Mus musculus: one gene and its partner. The protein of the gene in region 1 interacts with the protein of each later gene in a biochemical or structural test. Links are inferred from orthologs where the notes say so. Each region holds a gene or a part of one and is shown on either strand. Other genes may lie near its edges. The genes, in order: Nid1 and Fbln1.

Region 1 (11,107 bases):
ACATGGATAGAACTATATCTTCTGGAGAGTTACAGACAATTGTGAGCTGTCAGATGTGGCTGCTGGGAACCAAACTTTGAGCCTCTGCAAGAACAATAGACAAACTTAACTGATGAACTATCTCTCCGCTCCCACCTTGTTTTTTGAGATAGAACCTTACGTTGGCCTGGAAAGTGCCAAAAACAAACACCAGGACCTCCCTCCCTGGACCCTACCTCTCTGGTGCTGGAATCACAAGCATGGGTCACTGCGCCTATCTTCATTTTTTAAACTTAGATTTTAAAAAGAAATGTTTATAGCATTGCAGATCAACTAAGACCCTTGTTTATACTAAGTGCATGATCTACCATGAAGCTGTACTCCTAGCCCACATTTTTTTAAAAAAGGGTGTATTATGGAATTATATGTTCGTTTGTTGCTAGTGAAGTTATCAAATTATTCTTAAAAGCATCATCAATGCCTTTAGTGGGGACACACATCTGTAATCCCAGTGCTTGGAAAGCTGAGGCAGGATGGTTGCTGTGAGTTTGAGGCCAGCCTGAACTACATGAGCACCAGAGAGGTCAACCTCAACAAAATATCACCCCAGCATTCAAAACAGTATTATTAAAGTTTCATTTTTATTTCCATTCTAATGTGTGTAGTGTGTGTATGTGTGTGTGTGTAGTGAGTGTGTATAGTGTGTGTATGTGTGTGTGTAGTGTGTGTATGTGTGTGTGTAGTGTGTAGTGTATGTGTGTGTGTAGTGTGTGTATGTGTGTGTGTAGTGTGTGTGTGTATGTGTGTAGTGTGTGTGTAATGTTTTACAAGTGTAGGAGCATGTGTAAGGGTGCATGTGCACTCGCAGCACACTGATGTGGAGGCCTGAGATTAGTAATTGGAATCATCTTCAGTTAGTCTTTCACCTTATTCATTAAGGCAAGGTCTCTCAATCAAATCCAGAGTTCATGGATCTGGTAAGTCTTACTAGACAGACTTCTCTGGGGAACCTCTGTCTCCATCTTCAGAGGTTAGAATTCCAGGGAGGCCAGCACACCTGCCTGACATCTGTGTGGGTTCTGGGGATCAGAGTCCTCCACATTCATGCTTGCAGAGCACACACTTTAGCCTAATAAACCATCGCACAAACCCCTTGCTTCACTTATTGAGAGTGGGTTTCATGTGACCTCAGCTGGCTGCAAACCTTTCCATGTAATCAAGGATGACCTTGAACCCTTGCCCTGTCTCTGTCTCCCAAGTATTGGGATTACAGGTGTGTGGCCTACTGAAGTCTTAAAAAGTTAACCCTTTTCATGTGCACACAGTGCTCTAGAGTTAGAATATAGATCCTTGATCCAAAGAAAGGAAAAAAAAAATCACATGAAACAACTAGAAAAAAAGACCATATTATTATAAACTGTATCATTGTTTTGGCCCAGGCTGGCATTGAGCACACTATGCAATTGAGGTTGGCCTTGAACTCCTGATCGTCCTGTCTCCATCTCCCAAATGCTAGAATTGCAGGCGTATACCACCATACCGGGACTTTACATACATTTGAAAAATGTTCAGAGCACAGTTTGTGATGCAGATTATGAGAACTATCTGGAAGTATAACTCCTAAAGGAACAGGGGACACAGCCTGCAGTGTCCCTGGTAAGATATTCAGCAGCAGAATTAGGTCTCCCAGAGACAGGGCAATGTGAAGTGACTGCAGAGCTATAAATAGTGACAGCCAGTTTACAGTACAGGCTGATGAAGTATGGAACCATAAACACACATAGAGTGTGGCTGTTAGCTAGAAACACCGGACCAAATGCATCTACATGTAGAGACTAAGTTCTCTGTTTAGGTGGCAGAAACCTTGTCTGCTATGGAAAGGAGAGATGGTGTAGCAGTTTTGGGGTTAAACAAAGCAAGGCTTAAGCCCTTGCTCTTCCACTAGCTGTGTGAGACTGGATGAGGCTCCCCAAATTCACCACATGGTTCGGCTGTAGCTTCACTAGGCTCCAGAGAAGCCCAAAACCTCACAAGCAGCGTCTAGCCTCACTCGCTGTATATTTGTTGGGCCATTATCTTGCCCTTCCCCCCCCCCAGGATATTGCCATTTTCTCACAAAAGGGATTATGTATTCATGTCTATGGTATCTGCCTGGTACCTTCTCCAGAGATGTTGAGCTAATCAACATGACAACAACTTGTTCAGATAATGATGGAGGCTTTGCGTTAACTAGATTATATACTTTGTCTAATTTCGGGATCACCTTATCTAACCCTCATAACAATTCCTCAATTGTCCCTGTGAATATCCCAATCAAATGATAGGGATACAGAAACTTTGCGCTCTTGCTACGTTTGTGCAGCCAGTAAAGGGGGGGGGTAGGGGGTGGGAAGGTGGAGGAGGAGGCAGGCTCTGCTCCTACAGTCACCAAGAAAAATTCCACTGGCCAATAGGAGTTTCAGCAGCTGTCTGAGTACCAAAAAGGGAGAGAATCTGTGAGAGGGATAAGTACATTCCAGGCACTGACCACAGCTTCGGGACAGCCCTGATGTGTAATGAGCTTGGGATGGGGGTTGAAGGGGAAAAGAAAGGTTGCAGGTGGGAAAAGGCTGGTGAGCTCCTTTTCTTGGCCTCTACTGGGTCTCAGTGTTGTAGGGGGTCCATGAGTACTCTGTGCAGGGGAACCCAGGCCTCTGCACAAAGTTCTCAGTAACTGAAACAAGGCAAGCTAAGGCCTAGGATCTTAGACATCAGCCAGGCAGTGCACAGATGGCATGGGGTTGTCAGGGAGCTAGGAAGGATACCTGGGCATATGGAAGGGATTGGAGCTGCACAGTAGATCTGACAAAAGACTTGAGCACCGGGGATAATGTAGCAGCACAGATGCAACTTAGTGTCAAGGTTTCAAATTCATGTAGTGGTTGAGGGGCTTGCCATGTGTAAAGCCTTGGGTTTGACTCTTCATACTGCAAATATGCTAATAACCAGCTGGATGTAGTGGCTCATACTTGTAATCCCAGCATCCAGGAGTCTGAGGCTAGTAGGCTGCCATGAGCTAAGGCCAGCCTGGACTATGTAATGAGACCCTGTCTCAAAACAAAACAAGGGTCTGGCCAGAGTGTTTGCCTAGCATGATGAAGCCCTAGGTTTCATTCCCATGCTGTGTGTGTGTGTGTGTGTGTGTGTGTGTGTGTGTGTGTGTGTGTGTGTGTTCGTGCATATCCAGAACTTGAGAGCTAGCTCAGCTGGGTAAAGTGTTGGCCATGCCAGCAGAAGGACCTGTTATTGAGAACCTAAGAGGAAATACTGAACACAGAACACTCCGTGCCTAGCAAGCTCTTGGTACCTGTTATTGCTGACCACTCAAGAGCGTCAATGAAAGGGCACCCCCCATAGATCAATAACTTCATGCTCAGGAGCTATGTTCCATTGCCTCTTTCTTCAGGATTTTGCTGGTTCAAGGCTCACGTTCTCCATTAGTCCCATCACACATAGTTTTCTGTATACTGGAGAACTAATGGAGGTTCCAGACCTTTACTCTCAGCTGCTGGGAGGAAACAGGGGCATCCTGTTGACCCCTCTGAGTCAAGGGTCGGACCCCGCCCCCCCATCCTCTTCCGGTGCTCTCAAAGCCTGCACTAGTTTTTCAGCCTTCCGGTGGAATTCAACTTTAACTTCATTTCTTCTCGGTTTCATTCTTTCTTTCATGACAATGTCTATTAATTTCTTCTCTGTCTCAACTTCTTCCCTTCTCACGGGTCACCCCCAGTCCCCAACAGGCTTGGTCCAGTGGTTTCTCTCTATATTTTCACTTAAGGTGCCAAACTAATGATCAACAGCTGACTGGAAATATTACATTGCTTAAAAGTTATCTTTATTCTGCCGGGCGTGGTGGCGCACACCTTTAATCCCAGCACTCGGGAGGCAGAGGCAGTCGGATTTCTGATTCGAGGCCAACCTGATCTATAGAGTGAGTTCCAAGACAGCCAGGGCTATACAGAGAAACCTTGTCAAAAAAAAAAAAAAAAAAAAAAAAAAAGGACTGTCCAGGATTCTCTGAGTTTTTAGGGGAGCTCAGATTCTTGGATTTGTTATTCAGCTTTGCTTGGACCATCGCTCCCAACTTCTCTGCACGGAGTTGATAATCGGGTCCCTGGAACCCGCCCTGCTCCCACCTTCCACCTCCCAGGACCTCCTTTCTCTAGCCTCTGATGAAACTGCATTACTTCCAGAAAACCCGCTTTGATTCCCAGCACGCCACACAGAAGTTTGCTCTGGCCAATTCCTCCATTCCCAAACTGTTTTTATTCCTTGGACTCCAAGCAAATCTGACTTTGAATTGTGTCCCACACTTGAGACTTTGTCTGGCAGGTGTGGGCTCCTGTTTCCTGCGGAATCCTATAACTTAAGGAACCCAGAATCAGGAACTGGAAAAATGCTCACTTAGTGATTGGATGAGTAAAGGCACACACATTTGTCAGGCTTTTTGCGCATTTCGAGCATCCGCTCAGTCTCCTTTCTAGGGTGGGTTCTGTCCCGTCCCTGGCCCCAAAGTGTTTGTTTCCTGGTTGCCCGCTCTCCAGGAACTTGCCTAACTGCAGAATGCTGTTGCAAAGTTCCTTCTTTCTGGATAGGAGCCCACCGTCGGGTTGGATCCGGAATGCTGGGAACCAACGCCCACTGCTGCGCGGGGGAACCTCGGTGTCGGCCCTCTTCCTCCTGCTCGCTGCCATTGGTAGACGGGACAGGCGGGGTGGGCGGGCCCTCCCCCATAGCCCCTCGGTTCTCCTCCCCATTTCCAGGGGTGGGGACGACGGGAGGCGGGAGGTGAGGAGGGACTGCGGAGGGGCGTAGGGTTATATCTGCGCCTCCTCCGCCTGAGCTGCTAAACCGCCGGGATTGTGGGACCACAGTTGGGAAACATGCTGGACGCGAGCGGCTGTAGTTGGGCGATGTGGACGTGGGCGCTGTTGCAGCTGCTGCTACTAGTGGGGCCCGGAGGCTGCCTGAATCGCCAGGAGCTCTTCCCCTTCGGCCCTGGGCAGGGGGACCTAGAGCTGGAGGCCGGGGACGACGTGGTATCCCCCTCCCTGGAACTGATCGGAGAACTGAGCTTCTATGATCGTACGGACATCACGTCGGTCTATGTGAGTTGGGGCCGGGAGGGGAGGAAGGCCAGGCTATGCTGGGGTCGCCAGTCCAGAGAGACAGATGTGGAACTTGGGCGTCGCCCTCCGGGACCCGAGTGCTAGCTGTCCCAGTGAGGGGCTCTCCGTTGAATCTGCGCATCTAGAGGATCGCATTGCTTGTCTGTCACCCCAGTAGCACTCGAAGTTTAGGGTGGCATCTGCCTCCGGGATCCACTCATCTATGCGCGCGCCCTGCCAGGATCTGGGGACCTCGAGTAGAGTTTTCCTTCTCGATTCCGTGCGCTTCTCGCCTTCCTACTGGGACAGGTCCCAGTACCCTGCAGCTCAATGGCCAGAGTTGGGTTGTATCCTGTGAGCGCTCCTAGGGACTCTGCCGATGGCAAGCTAGAAAGGACAGAGGAACCCTCCTGCTCCGCCCCAGAGTTTCAGTGGACAGCCCCTGCATCTGTGTGCGTGGGTTCTGGCTACGTCTTGGCAGAGATTTTGCTCTCTTAGTTGGGCTGGTTTCAGAGTACAGAGGTCAGGACTGAGAACGCAGGGCGCCCCGGTGATCCAATTTCCTGTGGCTGAGGGTGTCACCCAGGGGCCCCAGATGAGGAGCGGGACTTCATGACCTTTTAGCTCCCTTGAACCTCCCCAGTGCTGGCAGGGCCTGGGAGCGCTGTTAGCCTGGTCAAGCCCTTTCGTGCTGCTCCGGCACACCATGTGGATTTGATATAAAGCCTGCGTGCATTCCACAAGTGTGTGTGTGTGGGGGGACTACACAGACGGCGGGGGAGTGGCTATTCTCTCAGCCTGGCCTGGGCAGATAGCATGGGGCAACACCCACGTGCAGCTTGTCAGCTTTGCCTAGAAAGAATGGGTCACACCCACAAAGAACTCTTACCCTTTGCTGGCTAGTTGCCCTGGCCCCACCGTGGGAAGCCCGGAGAAGCCTATAGACTTTTAGCATGCTTTGAAATACACACAATGAAATCCTCCACCTTACCAAAGAAAACAACGTGGTGGAAAAAAAAAAAACACACACACAACATATTAAAGCATATACACCAATTTTATGTAGTATTGAGGCTTCTCCATCTTTCCCAGCAACCGCACTCCCCCACCCCCACCCCCGTTAGGGATGTGTTAGGGAGGAGTTAGGAATCAAAACCAGGACTTCCTGCATGACAGATAAGAACTCTACCAACTGCACTATATACTGGCCCCTCTTGTTTCCTTTTAAACCACACTATGTGTAGTGGAAGCTGGAGCAATGGGTTTGGTAACTATTAAAAAGGGTGGATCTGAGAAGTGATCTGAAGTGTATCAATAGTGTCTGTCAGATTCCACACGAGGCGAGAATATGAGTAGGGGCCATAGTGGTACTTGCCTGAAATCCCACACTTGGGAGGTAAGGCTAGGAAGTTCTGGAGTCAGGCCAGCCTGGACTGTGGAGTTTGTCTTTAAAAGCCAGGAAATAGCCTGTGAGGTGACTCACTGGGTAAAAGGCACTTTATTTGTCAATCCTGACAACCTAATTTCATACCCCCATCCCTAGGACCCACATAGTGGAAGAAAAAAACCTGACTCATCCAAGTTATCCTGTGTGTCCCCTCACTCCTCCTAATTTTAAAAACTCCCCAAACAAGCAAAGCACCAGACCAAACAAGCCAGACAGAGCTAGGGGTCAAGGGCCTGATTTAACTCTGGTGCCGGAAGCCCCCAAGGAAACCAGATGGAGAGTATCCTGTGTCTAGCAGACACTCAAGCTTCAAGCTAACAGTCTGGGAGAGGAAGGAAGGCTGGAGACCTTGGTTTACAAAGGGAAAGAGTAAATAAATACATACATGGACTGGAGGTGGTGGTGTAGGCGTGCACTCTCAGCACCGAGGAGGGAGGAGTAAGAGGATCTCGGGTTTGAGTTTGAGGATATCCTGGGGTACAAGAAACTCTCTCAGTAAGCAAACAGAATTAAGATAATTTTAGAGTTCTGAAAATAACAGCTATCCTTGATAATGCTCCAAAGAGGCAATCTCCCAAGTGTGGCCCACGGACCTCTGGGGTCAAGGAATTCAGAAGATGGAGGTGATTTTAAGGAATATTAAGTTTATTGCTTTTGTCTTTTTCCCCTTATGTGTATTTTATGTATATGGGAGTTTGCCTGCACGTATGTCTGAGCACCACATATGTGTAGTGCCAGAAGAGGGTAACAGACTCCCCGCTGGGACTGGGGATCCTATCTCTGTGTTGGGAATGGAACCTGGGTTAAATGTTCTTAACTGCTGACCCATCTCATCTCTCCAGCCCGTTACTTATTTTACTAAGCATTGTGATGATGATGACGATGACTATGATGATGCATCTGGGCACATGTGTGTGCATGTGTACATATGGGTACATGTGTGGAGCCTAGAGGGCGGGTGACCTTAGGAATGGGTTTTCTTCTGTTGTTATGAGCTGCAGGGATGGGATTTAGGTAACTCAAGACTTCAGGCTGTGAGACAAGCTGTGCCATCTTGCTGACCCCAATGGCTTTTAGACTTTAGTTGCTCAGGAATGTATGATGGAGTTCACTACGGGATGCATGATACCCACATGTCTGTTCCCACAGGCAAACGAAGAAGCATCTATCTGCCTTCCATATAGTTGGACATCAGGTTGATTTGCAGACACACACGTGAAGGAAAGTCTCATCTCTTCATATACTTCATGATGTGTATTTTTAAAAAGATTTATTTATTAATTTATTTAATGTATATGAGTACACTGTTGCTGTCTTCAGACACACCAGAAGAGGGCGTCAGATCCCATTACAGATGATTGTAGGCCACTATGTGGTTGCTGGGAATTGAACTCAGGACCTGTGGAAGAGCAGTCAGTGCTATCTCTCAAGCCCTCTCCAAATGTATTTTTGGTTGGAACTATAATCACCTGCATTAAAATAATGCTGTTTTTGTTCACACGTGACAAATTCATTATTAAAGTGTTTTAAGTATTTAACTTGATCTTTGCTTCCCCTTTCCATACGATTAAATGTTGATTATGGTCTTGGGGGAATCTTCAAAACTGAAATGTTCAAAGGGCTCCAGAAGTCAAAATTCCCGAGGGCTGATCATAAATATATAAAATCAAGACATTGAGTATAAAGACAGGAAGGACGCATTGTTGGGAATGTCTTCTGGAAGAGGCAGGTGCCATGTTGGATACTAGCGCCCTCCTGTGGTCCTCATCAGAATCCCTCCCTGCTTCATGATGTGTGAGTCCCCAGAGGAATGGTCCTGAACGGTCATCATTAGAGTCCAGCCAATAAAACCAGTCATTCACCAGATCCCACGCAGGGGCTGAGCCCCATCCAGAGCACTAAAGCACTAGAAATTTCAGAGCCTTGCTGCCCTGGTCCATGAACCTTAAACTCCCTGGGTGAGAGTTTTTGAAAACTATGGTAAAGTTGTTCCAAGGAATGAAAACATTTCCTGCCTTTGCCTGGAACGTTGTCTCCGTTGGTATGCTTGCTGTCATGTTGACTGGCCACCCTCACTGGGCGTGTAAGGCAATGAGTGATTTCTAGGACATGATTTTAGTGATGATTAAATTACTTGCCCATGAGTCATAAAGATGGATAAGCAAGTTAGATATGACTTAATATTTTATTCAAAAAACCTTCCATACAGTTGGGAATAGAATATCTTTAGCAACAAAAAGATTGTGGGCTAAAAAGCTTGCCCTGCAACCGTGAGGACTGGGGTTTGATTCCCCAGAACCCAGGGGAGAAAAGGCAGGAGTAGCATGCAGCAAGCCTGCAATCTCAGCACTTTGCAGAGGCAAAGCCAGAGGATTCCTGGGTCTTGCTGGTCCGTGTTTCTAGCCCAATCAGCAAACCCAAGGTTCAGTGACAGACACTGTCTCAAAAAGTAAGGAGGAAAGTGACAGAACAAGACAACTGATACAGACATCTGGCTTCCAAACGCACAGGACCATGTGCCTGCACAGACATGCATATATATGTACACACAGAAATTTATCGTATATAGTATATAGGTGTATACTCACGTGCATGAACACATATGAGCACACACAACCTTCTAGTTGTTCATGGGCAATACTGCTTAACTTACTGCCTCACAGGACCTTCAGGACTGCTATCTGAAGCTGCTCGGGATGTTCCACCCTCAGGGCCTCTGGCCCAGGAAGGAAGATGGCGATTTTAGCCTGTCTTAAGCCTTGAGCATCCAGCTTCCGCCTGGGACTGCGAGGAGAAGCACGAGCTCCTCATTTCCCCCAGGTTTCCCAGTGGTTGAGCAATGACTGGGGTTGAATCTCAGAATCCAAGGTTATTAATTCCACCAGGGACTGAAATATAATTGACTAATTATAGTGACCAACTTTTTTTCATTTTTCTTTTTTTTATTGGATATTTTCTTTATTTACATTTCAAATGTTATTCCCTTTCCTGGTTTCCCCTCCTAAAACCCCCTAATCCTCTCCCCTCTTCCCCTGCTCCCCAACCCACCCACTCCTGCTTCCTGGCCCTGGCATTCCCCTATACCGGGGCATAGAACCTTCACAGGACCAAGGGCCTCTCCTCCCATTGATGACCAACTAAGCCATCCTCTGCTACATATGCAGCTAGAGCCATGACTCCCACCATATGTTTTCTTTGGTTGGTGGTTTAGTCCCGGGGAGCTCTGGGAGTACTGGCTAGTTCATATTGTTGTTCCTCCTAGGAGGCTGCAAACCCCTTCAGCTCCTTGGGTCCTTTCTCTGGCTCCTTCATTGGGGACCCTGTGCTTAGGCCAATGGATGGCTGTGAGCATCCATTTCTGTATTAGTCAGGCACTGGCAGAGCCTCTCAGGAGACAGCTATATCAGGCTCCTGTCAGCAAGCTCCTGTTGGCATCCACAATAGTGTCTGGGTTTGATGGTTGTTTATGGGATGGATCCCCAGGTGGGGCAGTCTTTGGATGGTGACCAACTTCTAATTGAAGCCAAATCATTATTCTGATAAAGTAGCAGATTAATGGAATGGAGAAGTTTGAGAAAAATTGTCCCCAGACTAATTTTATTTGGGATTTTCAATACTTTTTCTTTTGCATGGTGGTACAAGCCTGTAATAATGCCATCACTCCAAGAGACATCACGCCAACCTGTGCTGCATAGTGAGTCCAAAGATAGCCTGGACTAAAGAGTGAAATAAAGACTCATTGCTATTATTTTTAGTAACCTGATGGTTAATTTAATTGCGCTTACTTTCTCAGGACATTAGTACCATTTTTATTTTGAATCAGGGTCTCTTGTGGCTTAGACTGGCTTTGAACTCCCAATGTGTCTACCAAGGATTGAATTCCTGATCCTTTTGCCTCTATGTCTTGAATGGTAGTATTACAGGTATGCACTGCCATATTTACTTTATGTAGTGCTAGGGTCTCAACCCTTGGATCTTATGCATGCTAGGCAAACATTCTACTAACTGAGCATATATTCCCAGCCCCATCTGTGTGTGTGTGTGTGTGTGTGTGTGTGTGTGTACATGTATATGCAATACTCCAATGTTAAGCTCAACTATCCATTCATTCTATAGATATTATTATTTTCATCATCATTATTTTGTTTATTGACAGGGTCTCGCTACATAGCCCTGACTGCCTGGAACTCACTATGTAGACCAGGCTGGCTTGGAACTCACAGAGATCTATCTGCCTTTGCCTCCTAAATGCTGGGATCAAAGGTGTGTACCCAGCTTTAATTAACTTCTTAGTGTGCTGGGCGCAATCTGAGGCTGGTGATAGACTGAAAACAAGACCAGCCTTCCATGCCCACAGTGTCATGTCATGAGAGAGGTGACATTCAGCCAATGATCACACTGATAATAGGACTGTTACCACATGCCGTGCTGCATCCTCTGAGGCAGAAGTTCATGTTGGAACAATTTGGAGCAGGGCCCAAGCTAGTGGAGCAGTCTAGAAATGTTCCCCATCATAGCTGCAGCTACGATGGTG
Region 2 (11,007 bases), on another chromosome or scaffold:
GCCTAAGATGAGGATTTAGAAGGTTAAATCTGTTGAATTCGGTAGCACTATGCCTGTGTGTGTGTGTGTGTGTGTGTGTGTGTGTGTGTGTGCGTGCTCGAGGGCATGCACGCATGGTCATGTATGTGTGGTTACACATGTGAATACAGGTATATACATGTGTGGTGTATAGGTGCATGCATGCACAGTGTATGTGAGGATGTCAGAGGATAATCTTGACTGTTGGTCCTTAGGCACCGTCTACCTTTTGTTCAACATTGGCCTGGGATGTTGCTGAGTAGGTTAGGCTAGCTGGCCATTGAGCTCCAGGGATCCACCTGTCTGCCCTGCATCTGCCTTCACCAGGATTACAGTGCACAACATCACCACACGTGGACCCTTACGTGAATGCTGAGGCTCCTAACTGAGGTCCTGATTGCAAGGCAAGCACTGTACCCAACGAACCATCTGTCCAAGTCCTCTTTCCCTTTTGCCAGAGCCTTTGAAAAGGTTGGAACACCCCTCCAGATGGGACGGGCATGTCAGGCTAGATGGAAATGGGCTGCTTGCTGCTACACGTGTCAGTCAAAGAAATATGCCCTTAGCCAAAGCCTTCTGTAGCTCTTGTTAAATTTTGTACAATATATTTTGTTTCTAAAATTTTCTCTTCCCCAGCTCTTTCCAGATTCTTCCCACCTCCCTACCCACCCAACTTCATGTTCTTTCTGTCTCCCTCTCTCTCTCTCTCAAAAAAATATCATCAAACCATTACAACAAAACACACAGAGAAGAAACCATGGAGTCCGTTCTGTGCTTGTCAGCTGCTCCTAAGCATGTGGCCTGCCCTGGAATGGGGGTTGATCTACCCAGTAGCCTTTTATTGGAGAAAACAGACTTTCCCTCCCATCAGGGATCAGTTGCAAATAGGTTGACTAGGGGTGGAACTTCATGTCCACTCCCGGTCTCAGTGCTGGGGTTTTGTCTGCTTTGCATCTGTGCGGTCAATCTCTGTGTGTTCATATATCTGTGCATCAGCCCTGTTCTGTCTGGAAGACTCTGTCTTCCCTAGAGTCATAATGACCTCTGGCTCTTACATTCTCTCTGCCTCCTCTTCTGTATAGGTCCTTGAGCCTTGAAGTAGACGGGTTGGATAAAGACTTCCATTTAGGGCTAGCTGCCCCAGGCTCTCTCACTGTGCACCATAGGACAGCGCTTCAATGGGAAAGCCTACCCTCCTTCGTGGGGCGCTCTAAGAAGGCAAATGCTATGGGCAAACACGGAATATAACCGTGTGGAATGAGAAGTACAATGTTGAAGAAGGTAGTCACAGTGCTCCTCACAGGAAGGTGATGGGAACATGGGACAGGAGGACCTGAGTTCAGGAGAACAGGAGGGAGAAGCCATGGAGTGCCTCCAGCCAATTTCTGACTCCCAGAATGGGCCTCATGACTCCCAGTTTGTGCCATAGCCCACACTAGCCTGTGGGCCCCATGGAGGAAGGGGTTCTCTGCTCTCGAGGAGTATTTACAGGAGTTTAAAACAGATCTTACAGAATGAAATGCCACCTGTGAGGCCAGACAGTGATGCATTCTTAGTGGGGCCTCAAGAACTGACTTCCTTTCTTTTCCTTCGAATCTCCATCTCCTTCAGTAATCATGGCTGAACTCCAGCCAGGTGCTTGCCCAAACCCTGGGGAGGGTGGAGCAGGCATGAGCACAATGCAGTCTGCCCTGAATGGGAGGCTAGCTGGAACGTCCTATGAACTGGGCAGGTAGAGCATTACAGTTGAGAACACATGTCCTTCCTGCTCTCTGGGCCCCAACTTACTCTTCACAACCCTATTTAAATATCTGTTCCTCTATAGAAACTTCCCCAAATCTCCCTGTGTAGATTGACCTCTGTTGGATAGAGGGACAGATGGGTAGATGGAAGGATGGCTGGAAGAACAAATGAGATAGATGGGTTAAATAAATGGATGAGTTGGTCAGTGGGATGATGGATGGATGGTGGATGGATGGGTAGATGGATGTCGAATGGATGGATGGATGGATGGATCAATGGATGGATGATAGATGAGTGGATGGATGGATGGATAGATGGATGGATAGATGGATGATAGGTGGGTGAGAAGATGGCAGGTGATAGGAAGCTATGAATAAAAAGTTGGCACCAGAACTATCTATCCATTTGATATTTGTTGAGTGCCAGGCACTGGGGACCAGCTGGGTTTTATGTCATCTTTCATGAAACACTGCAGCCTGGTTTCAGTCAAGGTGAGGGCAAGAATGTGAAAGCCAGACTTGAACTAGTGAGACAGAGGAAACCTATTCTCTGAAAACACAGGTGCAAGAAAGTTTGCCTGGCTGGGAAGGATTGGGAGCTGGGCCCTCCGAGGGGTCCAGTGTGAGAAAGATAGCTCTGAGCTGAGTGAAGCTGTGGCTAGCTGCAGGTACCACACAGACTTCAGGTCAAAGGGGCAGAAGACAGAAGATTCTGGGCGAGCTGGAAGGGACACATTCCTTGAGCCTGCACCCACACAAGCTCTTGCTTAACCCAGGCAGTATTTCGAGCTGTCCTTAGTCATCTTTCTTGCTGTGCGCAAAGATCCTGAGCCACTGTAGGCTCTGAAAGTGACTCATGTCTATGATGAGGCCTGGCACCTGGAGGCCCTGTAGTCCTTCCCTTGCTTTGTTGCTTTGTCACACCACGTGACTTTTACAAACCAGACAACAGTATGGCATTCTGGTCTTCAGATATGACAGAAATGAACCTTCATAAATTCCCTGAGATGATGGGTTTAGATGCAAACATTTCCTAGCCATTGGAGCACAGAGATCACACTGAAAGATTGCATGTTTTATATCCAGCAGTCATTTCTGAATATGTGTGTGTGTGTGTGTGTGTGTGTGTGTGTGTGTGTGTTGCTGGGGACTAAATCCAGGGCCTTCACACTTGCTGGGAAGTGCTCTGTCACTGAGCTACATTTTTCTGGAAACTTTATTTTGAGACAGGATCTCACTAAGCTCCCAAGTTGGCTTTGAACTCACACTGTAGCCCAGAAAGGCCTTGAACACACAATCCTCCTGCTCCTACATCTCAAGTGGCTAAGATTGCAGGCCTGGGCCCCCAGTTTGTTTGGTTTCTGATTATGAAGATTGCTGGGTTTTATGTCTGTCCACAGGAAAGGAAATTGAGGCTCAGAGAAGTTAAGTAACTCCTCTGACTCCGGTTGGTCACGCTCAATCTCCGTGCCCCACACGTGAGTTCTCGATCACCTTTCTGACCCAGACCCACCCTCCACAACTACCATCGCATTCTCTACATTTTTTTAAACCTTATTTTATTTAGTGTACACACACACACACACACACACACGATGCACAGAAGACAGCTTTCAGGAGTCCATTCACACCTTCTGCCGTGGGTGCCAGGTACTACACTCAGGCTATCAGGTTAGTGTGCCAGTTGCCTTGCTCACTGAGCCATCTCACCAGGCCCCTCTCCTTTCTTACGGATTTCAGTGTCAGGCGTCTACTACATGCCCAGTCGTGTGTGAACTGTGGACCCTGTGAGGGGTCCCATGAGTATGTAGGAATGGTCACTTAAATGAGATATATTGACATACGTGTCAACCTGTAGGTGTGACAGTATGATCAACATGTTAATATTATATCAATAGGTACCTATAATATGACCCTTATCATTTAAAATTTTATTCAAGTTGGGCATGGTAATACATGCCTATCATCCTCCAAAAATGAGGTCCAGAGGATCAAAAGTTTTAGGTCATGATCTATTACATAATTTGTTTAAAGCCAGCCTGGGTTGCATGAGACCCTGATTGAAACCTACTCCCACAAAGAGATAAGATTTTATGATGTCTATGTTATATGTTGATATCTTATATATCATTGTATACAATCAACAGTATATGTGTATGTGTATATATATATATATATATATATATATATATGAATATATATGGATCAATGAAATATATGTTATATAAAATATCAGTATACATACATACATATGTATGTGTATATACATACACATATGTGTGTGTATATATATACATATATATACATATAAATATGTATGTGTATATATATATGAAATTAAGTTTCTTTGTATATATGCATGAGAGTTCAGAAGAGGTTTTGTACCCCCTGGAGCTAGAGTTATATAGTGTTGTGAGCCATTCAGTGTAGGTGCTAGGAATCGAACATGGATCCCTCTTAACCACTGAGCCATCTCTCCAGTCCCCATGAAATTATATTGAAATACTGCTTAATAGGAACAAAGCAGGATCCGATCAGAGCTTGAAGACATTCATCATACCACTGTCCTGTAGCAGATCACAGGCTCATTGGCCTCTCAGGGTCCCTTTGAGCAGCAGCTTTTTAGCCATGGGCCAAATGGTGTGAACACCCTTGCTCTCCCATGGCTAATGTCCCAGTGGCTGGCAGACACCCTGTGGGCCTGGAGCCTACAGGGAGAAAAAGTATGCATGGATTCAAAGGAACTTTATGAATATTACAGGCCCAGCCAGCATTGTGACCCCACCCAACCTGGCAGGCTGACCTAGCCCGGGGAGGGGCCCAGCGGTAAGCAAAGGGTGACAAGCCTTTCAGAAGCCATATTTGCATATAGGCCTTTGGAGGGACATGGTTGCAATGCTGTGGCTGCCGTGGGGATGAGAGTGAGGTGCTGACTGCCTGTGGAGGTCTGTAATGTCCCCTTCCCAAGTTAAAAACAGGTTCGCTTAGGGAGAAGTCTGTGGGTGATGTGTTGACAGATGGCATGCACGGGTATCTGGATTCTATGTTGCAGGATGTCCAAGGACCCGACTTGAAGGGACTTGGGGCTGCTACTCCTGGAGAGGGGGACCTACCCTTGTAATCTTCAAATGTCCCAGGAATAAACCATTGCTTTTTTTCTCCCTAGGGTCCCCGTCAGGGATCTAAGAAGGAAGGATGGAAGGAGAGAAGGCTCAATTTTATTTCAGGCCTTTTCTAGGGCCTTTGAGCCCTTGTTAGACAAATGGTAGTAGAAGAGGAAACCCAAGCTCCCCACAAGGACCGCAGCTGGCCTTGTCCCAGACCTGCCAATCCCCAAAGCTACACTGGCTGCTTCCCTCCCCTTCCAAGCTGTGTGTGACAGAAGGGATGTAGTGAGCTCACTGTCACCTTATCCCTAGTGACTGGAAGCAACCCAGAGTGACCAGGTGGAAGGGGATGGTTACCTTGGTGATTAAAGCGTCTGCCTCGGGCTACCACTGTAGCCTTGACATTCCCAAGGACCCCTTTCCCAGCTACCCATGTTGCCCCGTGCCTGCCAACACCCAACAGCATGCCTTCTGCTCTCTCCCCAGGTGTCGTGCGCCAAGTGCGGCCCATCGTGGGCCCGTTTTACGCTGTCCTGAAGCTGGAGATGAACTACGTGTTGGGAGGCGTAGTTTCCCACCGGAACGTCGTCAATGTACACATCTTCGTCTCCGAGTACTGGTTCTGAGGGCAGGTTGTGGCTCAGCCAGGAGTGTACCCCGCCCCCTGGCTACGCCCTTGCTGCCAGTGACAGCCAGGTGCCTGTCTCTACCCCTCGGGCCTCCCTTGATGTTTCATATTGGTTTGTATGGCCACGTGCATTAGGCTGAGCCGCATCACTTAAGTCCAGCTGGTGTACTGTGGCGTTTAAACATGGCTCAGCTGGGTGGTTGAATCCTTGCTTTTTTTTTTAAATGCAAAGGCCAAATCGGAATTTTGTTCCCTTTCTCTACCTGTGAGCTAGGCATTGCTAAGGACCAATTGAAGGAGTTTTCAAAGCAGCACTCCACCCAAAAGCCGAGGTAGTTCTCACTGAGTCTGCATGAGGATTGGCATTTTGGTACTTTTTTTTTTTTTTTTTTAACCAACGGGGCTCTTTGTGTTTCAAGTTGATGGCTGCTGTAGAGTGGCACATAAATAAATGTACAATAAATTCTCCCCAGAAGCAGCTGACAAGCATGCCTCGGGGGCACTTGGAAAGTGGATTGCAATTTTGTTCAAAGGAGGGCCCCTTGGTAAAGATGTGAGCTGCAAGGTTTGTGTGTGGCCTGGTATGGCTGTGGGGAAGGCTGGGATGTCCCAGTGTGTCTGGGGTGGCTGGTGTCTCCCAGTGTGTCCATGGGGGTGGCTGGTGCATCCCTATCTGTTTGTGAGGGTGGCCAGTATGTCCCAGTGTGTCTATGGGGGTGGCTGGTGTGTCCCCATGTGTCTGTAGAGATGGCTGGTGTGTCCCTGTGTGTCTGTAGAAGTGTCTGGTGTGTTTCAGTGTGTCCATAGAGGTGGCTGGCTTTCTTTGTACCCTGAAGCTGCCTTTCCTCACAAGAGTAAACAGGCTTTTGTGATCTTCCTGACAACCTACTATACACTCTCCGGATGGGGCTTCTGCTAGCTCAGAGGTCTTCCATGAGCTGGAGGACTGCAAATCTCTCCTAAAGCCAATTTCAAAGTCTCCCCTGCCCCCATAGCTCCAGCTAAGGGGTTGCAAAAGCTTCCCAGTCTGGAATCGTTGTTGTCATATTGTCTTGTTGCTATGACAAAATACTAAAAGCTGGGCTATTTATAAAGAATAAATGTTTACTTAGCATATATCCATATACATACACATATATGTATATTTTCTTTTCTTGGAGGTTGGGAAGTCCAGGTGCTGGCTTGACATCTGGTGTGGTCCTCTCTGCCCCATGACGAGGCAGGATGTCATCTGATGAGCAGGAATACTACTTCAGGTCTCCCTTCTAACAAAGCTCTTGACGACCTCCTCTAATCCCAGTACCCTCCTCCAAAGCCCCTACTTCCAAAATCCATCAATAAATACATGGATCTGGAGATGACGTTTTTATCATTTAACTTTCGGGGAGACACGTCTGAGCACATACCTGCCCTCTAAGAAGCTGACCGATGTCTGGTCCTGTCAGACACCTCTCTGAGCCGTGGGATTTCTGATTTGCTCCAAGTCTTATACCTCAGGGTCATCTGCGGCCTCACTAAAGCTTCCTGGGGTGGAGGGTGGTAGAGGATAACGACTCAAAGCTAACAGCACAAGGAAAGGAGGCTGCTGCCCATGGTATCCCCAAAAGATGCGATGACTGAGTCGTATGCTTGTCACAGGGTACTTTGTTTACTGGGTGTGATAAGGCCCAATCTCAAGAGAACCACAAAGGGCTCAGAGGGAAACTCTTATCGCCCGAGCTCACACAGCCTTTTAGAAACATAGATGGGTTCAAATTCTGGCTGTTTGGTCCTGAACTCTTGATACCCCATCCAGTTCAGCTGAATATATCACTTAGCAAACATCACTCAGCATCAGTCACGGGCATGACAGGACCCCGTATCAGGCTCCTTCTTTATACATAGACACCCAGCAGAGACAGATGGACAGGTGTGTCAGTTGCACTCAGCCCCAACCATGTGCCGTGGTCCCATGAGTACCCATGATTCTTACAAAAGAAATTGTCAGAGTCTCCCAACAATGGTGTGCCCTTCTTAACTGCCTCCCTAAATGCTTGAAGGGCTTCCCTGAACAGAAAGCATTTAATAAAGGGTCAGCAAAGAGACGCCAGTCACTTGCTGATCTCATAGAATGAGCTTCTCACAGATGGTCCCAGAAAGGTATCACACTGCCCTATGCTAACAGCAAGCTATTGGCTTTGAAGGAAGCTGACTTAGCTGCTGTTACAAAGCACGTGAGGAAATCAGTCGGAAGATTTATCTTGGCTCACACAGAAGTTTCCACCTAAGGCCTATTGCTTCTAGGTCTGTGGCAAGGTAGAGTGGGGAGCCAGGAAGTAAATAAAGGAAGATGGGAGGGGCCAGGAACAAGAGATTCCCCCTCAAAAACATGTCCCCATGCTCTACTTCCTCCAACTGGAACCCGCTCCTGAAGTTCCCACCACCTTCCTAGACACTGTTAAGTTATGAATCCTTCAGCGGATGAATCTTTTGACAAAGCCACAATCCCCAGGATCCAGTCACCTCCCTGTGGCCTCACTGACCACTGAGCTTCACTGCACTGGGGAACCAAGCCTCCAACCTGGGAGCTCCAAGAAACATTAATGCACAAATCCCAACAGAAGGAGACCTATCCAACTGCACTCAGGAGTTCTGTGGCTTGAAGCAGAGAGATGCTCAGGCCAGCCTATGTTTTTAAGAGATCAGTGTTGATAAATATATGAGAACCAAGAAAGAGCAGCAGAGGCCCTCCACCCCCACCCCCACCCAGCCTTCAGAACCAAAGATGGAAAGCCTGCCTTCCCAAGTCCCAACAAGGTTCTTGGGTCTGCTCTAGCAAATAGCCACCTGAAGTCAGCTGTTTGTTCTTTGCCTTTTACCTATTTTATTCAAAATTTCAAATATGCTTGTTGCCTAGCACCGGTCCTCAGAGCCAAACAGCTGCTGTCTTCATGGATTCCGTGGTGCCTGTTTGTACAAGATCATCACAGCTGACCTTGTTGAGTATTGGCCATTCCCTCCCAGGAGAAGGCTCTGAGGGCCACCGGAGCCTCACCTGAGCACCCAGCCCCTCCTCCCAATCACTTATATGCAGTCTTTCTCTTCTGCTCTAATTGAATGTAGCCCTGGGGTCTTGGGGAGTGGGTGCAGTATATAGTCTGGGGAGGACTAGGGGAATAAGGTTCTCCATCTCTGCAGCTGTGTGGGAGCCATCGTCCATGCTGGATGCAAACTTTCCAGTGTGGCTGCTCGAGGGAGGGTCACCAGCACTCCTGCCTGTGACACTTCTCCCACGTTCTGTACATAAGCCTAAGAAACTCACTAATTTATTAGTTCCTAGGGGGGAACTTTGGTTTGTCACTAGGACCCTACAAGGAGAAGGTCCAGTTGCCTTCTTAGTGGTCCATAGAGAGAAAATTCTTGCAATGACACAGCAAGGTTAGAAGGATTTTACAAAGACTGGCAGAGCACCTAGCACCTAGCACCTAGACTCTGCTCTTGAGGCATTAGGGGTCTGGCTGTACTTTAAATATATGGTGATAGGATGGGATAGAATGAGAGAGCCTGGTCTATAGGATAGGATAGAATGAGATAGCCTGGCCTAACAGTTTATCAGTCTTGAAGTTTGCATGTTTGGGTTCAGGGTCAATCACTCAGAAGCTCTGAGACACATGACCCTAGGTTTCACAGCATCATGTGGACTCCATGATGTGAACTCCGTGATGGGGTTGAGGCTTAGCTGGGCAGGGGGATGGGGTGGGGTTGGGGAGGGTGGAGAAACTGCTGCACAAAAAAGACCCCAGTCAGCAGCACTGGCGCTGTAGATGCATGAGAGGGAGCGGTTTTCATTCCATGAGTTGACACAGTTTATTAGAGTCTGGACAGGCAGTGAAGAGGTGATTTATAACTGTCCTATAAGCATTCGCCTATGTGTCTGCCCCTGCTGGGCAGGAAGCACCACAGTGGGGACTTATTCTTGTCCTCTTGAGGTTCCTCCCACAGAAGAACTTCTCTGAATGAGAAGCACCAAAGCTCTGCAAATAGACAGGAGGCGGAGGAAATGCTTAGACTCTTGCCACTGCGAAGGACAGCCCGTCACTGTGACAGCTGATGCCAGTAAGCTGCAGCAGCAGTGGGCGCCGAGGAAGGACAGTTTCCAGGGAGGCTTATTTTATTTACTTTATATTTGCTCATCTGTATATGTGAAGGTATCTGTGTATTCCACATGTGTGTAGGTGTCCAAGGAGGTCAGAAAAGGGTGTTGGATTCCCCTGGAGCTGGAGTCACAGGTAGTTATGAGCAGCCCAAGCTGGAAACTAATCTAAGGAACTCCGCAGGAGCAGCCAGTATTCTTAACTGCTGGGCCATCTCTCCAGCTCCCCGGGGCTCACAGCTGGCTCACAATTCAGATAATCCACTCCCAGGTATCTTGTTAGAAACTCTTTCTGAGATATAACAAACCCACCTTCCTTCTCCTCTCCTCTTTCATAACTTTAAGCCTTTTTCAGAAAATAGTGCATTTAAAAACAAACAAACATTAAAAAAAAAAAAAGATGCAGCCTTCCCCACACCAGATTCCAAGTACTGACTTTCAGGTCTATGTGCACCTCACCCATCTACGCTTCGAAAGGCAGACAGTCCTCAGCAGCTCAGTTGCTCAGTTGGACAATGCATCTATTCTCTCAGGCCCTGATCTTGGAACCCAAACTCAGAACCACCCCTGTTCCCAGACAAGCAACTTTCCAGATGGTAACCTCTCCATGACATAAGAACAGGCTGCTGGGGAGAAGCGGAGCCACTGGTCAATGATGGTTATGCGACAGTGCTCTGGGGTAGCAGGTTGGGCTTTGGATCCCGTCAAGGACATGTTGAGCCAGGTTCACCCCAAGGCCACAGTGTGGCCCTCGCTGTGGCAGCTACTGGATCTCAGAAGTGAGGGAGGACTGTTTTCCACTTGGCAAAGTAGGAGCGTCTTATCCCACAGCCCATCTTGACGATTTGATCGTTGCTCTTCACAGCCTCATCTAGATAATTGCATAATTAATTGTGTGCAGGTAATTCACCCAGGGGAGGAGGTTAGAGGGAATGGGGGCCCAGGCTTTCAAGCCCTGGAAAGATGCCAAGCAGCCTCTGTGCAGACCCCATCATGGGCATGCCTGTGTGTTTGGAGCCCTTGGCGTGTTCATGAGACCTCCAGGGGACAGCTCTGCTGGAACCCAGTGACCTTGTCTTGACATGCTTATACTATATAGACTTAAGTCAGAGACTGTTCCTCAAATCAGAGGCTCTGAAGGGTGGATAAGAAGGCCTCTCAGCTCAAGGGTGGAAGGAGATGGCCTTCCCCAGGAGCTTGGACCAGTCCATTTTTCTGGATGCTTCTGGAAAGTGGTGCCCATGATTTTTACTTCGAGATGCACTCCATGCCCCTCCCCCCCACCACACCCTCATTATCCACAAAGCCACAAAGCTCAGGGACCCAAGGAAGCCAATCTTCAAAGGAATGGACCCTCCTGGACAAAGTGCTTGCCCTCTA

Evidence for each region.
Region 2: the proteins of Nid1 (region 1) and Fbln1 form a complex in vitro, tested with the Homo sapiens proteins (3 studies listed by BioGRID). The link is inferred for Mus musculus from reciprocal best matches to the Homo sapiens genes NID1 and FBLN1.

What each region holds. Positions count from the first base shown.
Region 1 is NC_000079.6:13,432,801-13,443,907, forward strand, and holds the start of Nid1 (nidogen-1 precursor), read left to right. Parts: upstream 1-4,801; 5' UTR 4,802-4,901; coding exon 4,902-5,126; intron 5,127-11,107. UniProt on the Homo sapiens protein: Sulfated glycoprotein widely distributed in basement membranes and tightly associated with laminin. Also binds to collagen IV and perlecan. It probably has a role in cell-extracellular matrix interactions.
Region 2 is NC_000081.6:85,279,687-85,290,693, forward strand, and holds the end of Fbln1 (fibulin-1 isoform 1 precursor), read left to right. Parts: intron 1-5,353; coding exon 5,354-5,493; 3' UTR 5,494-6,608; downstream 6,609-11,007. UniProt on the Homo sapiens protein: Incorporated into fibronectin-containing matrix fibers. May play a role in cell adhesion and migration along protein fibers within the extracellular matrix (ECM).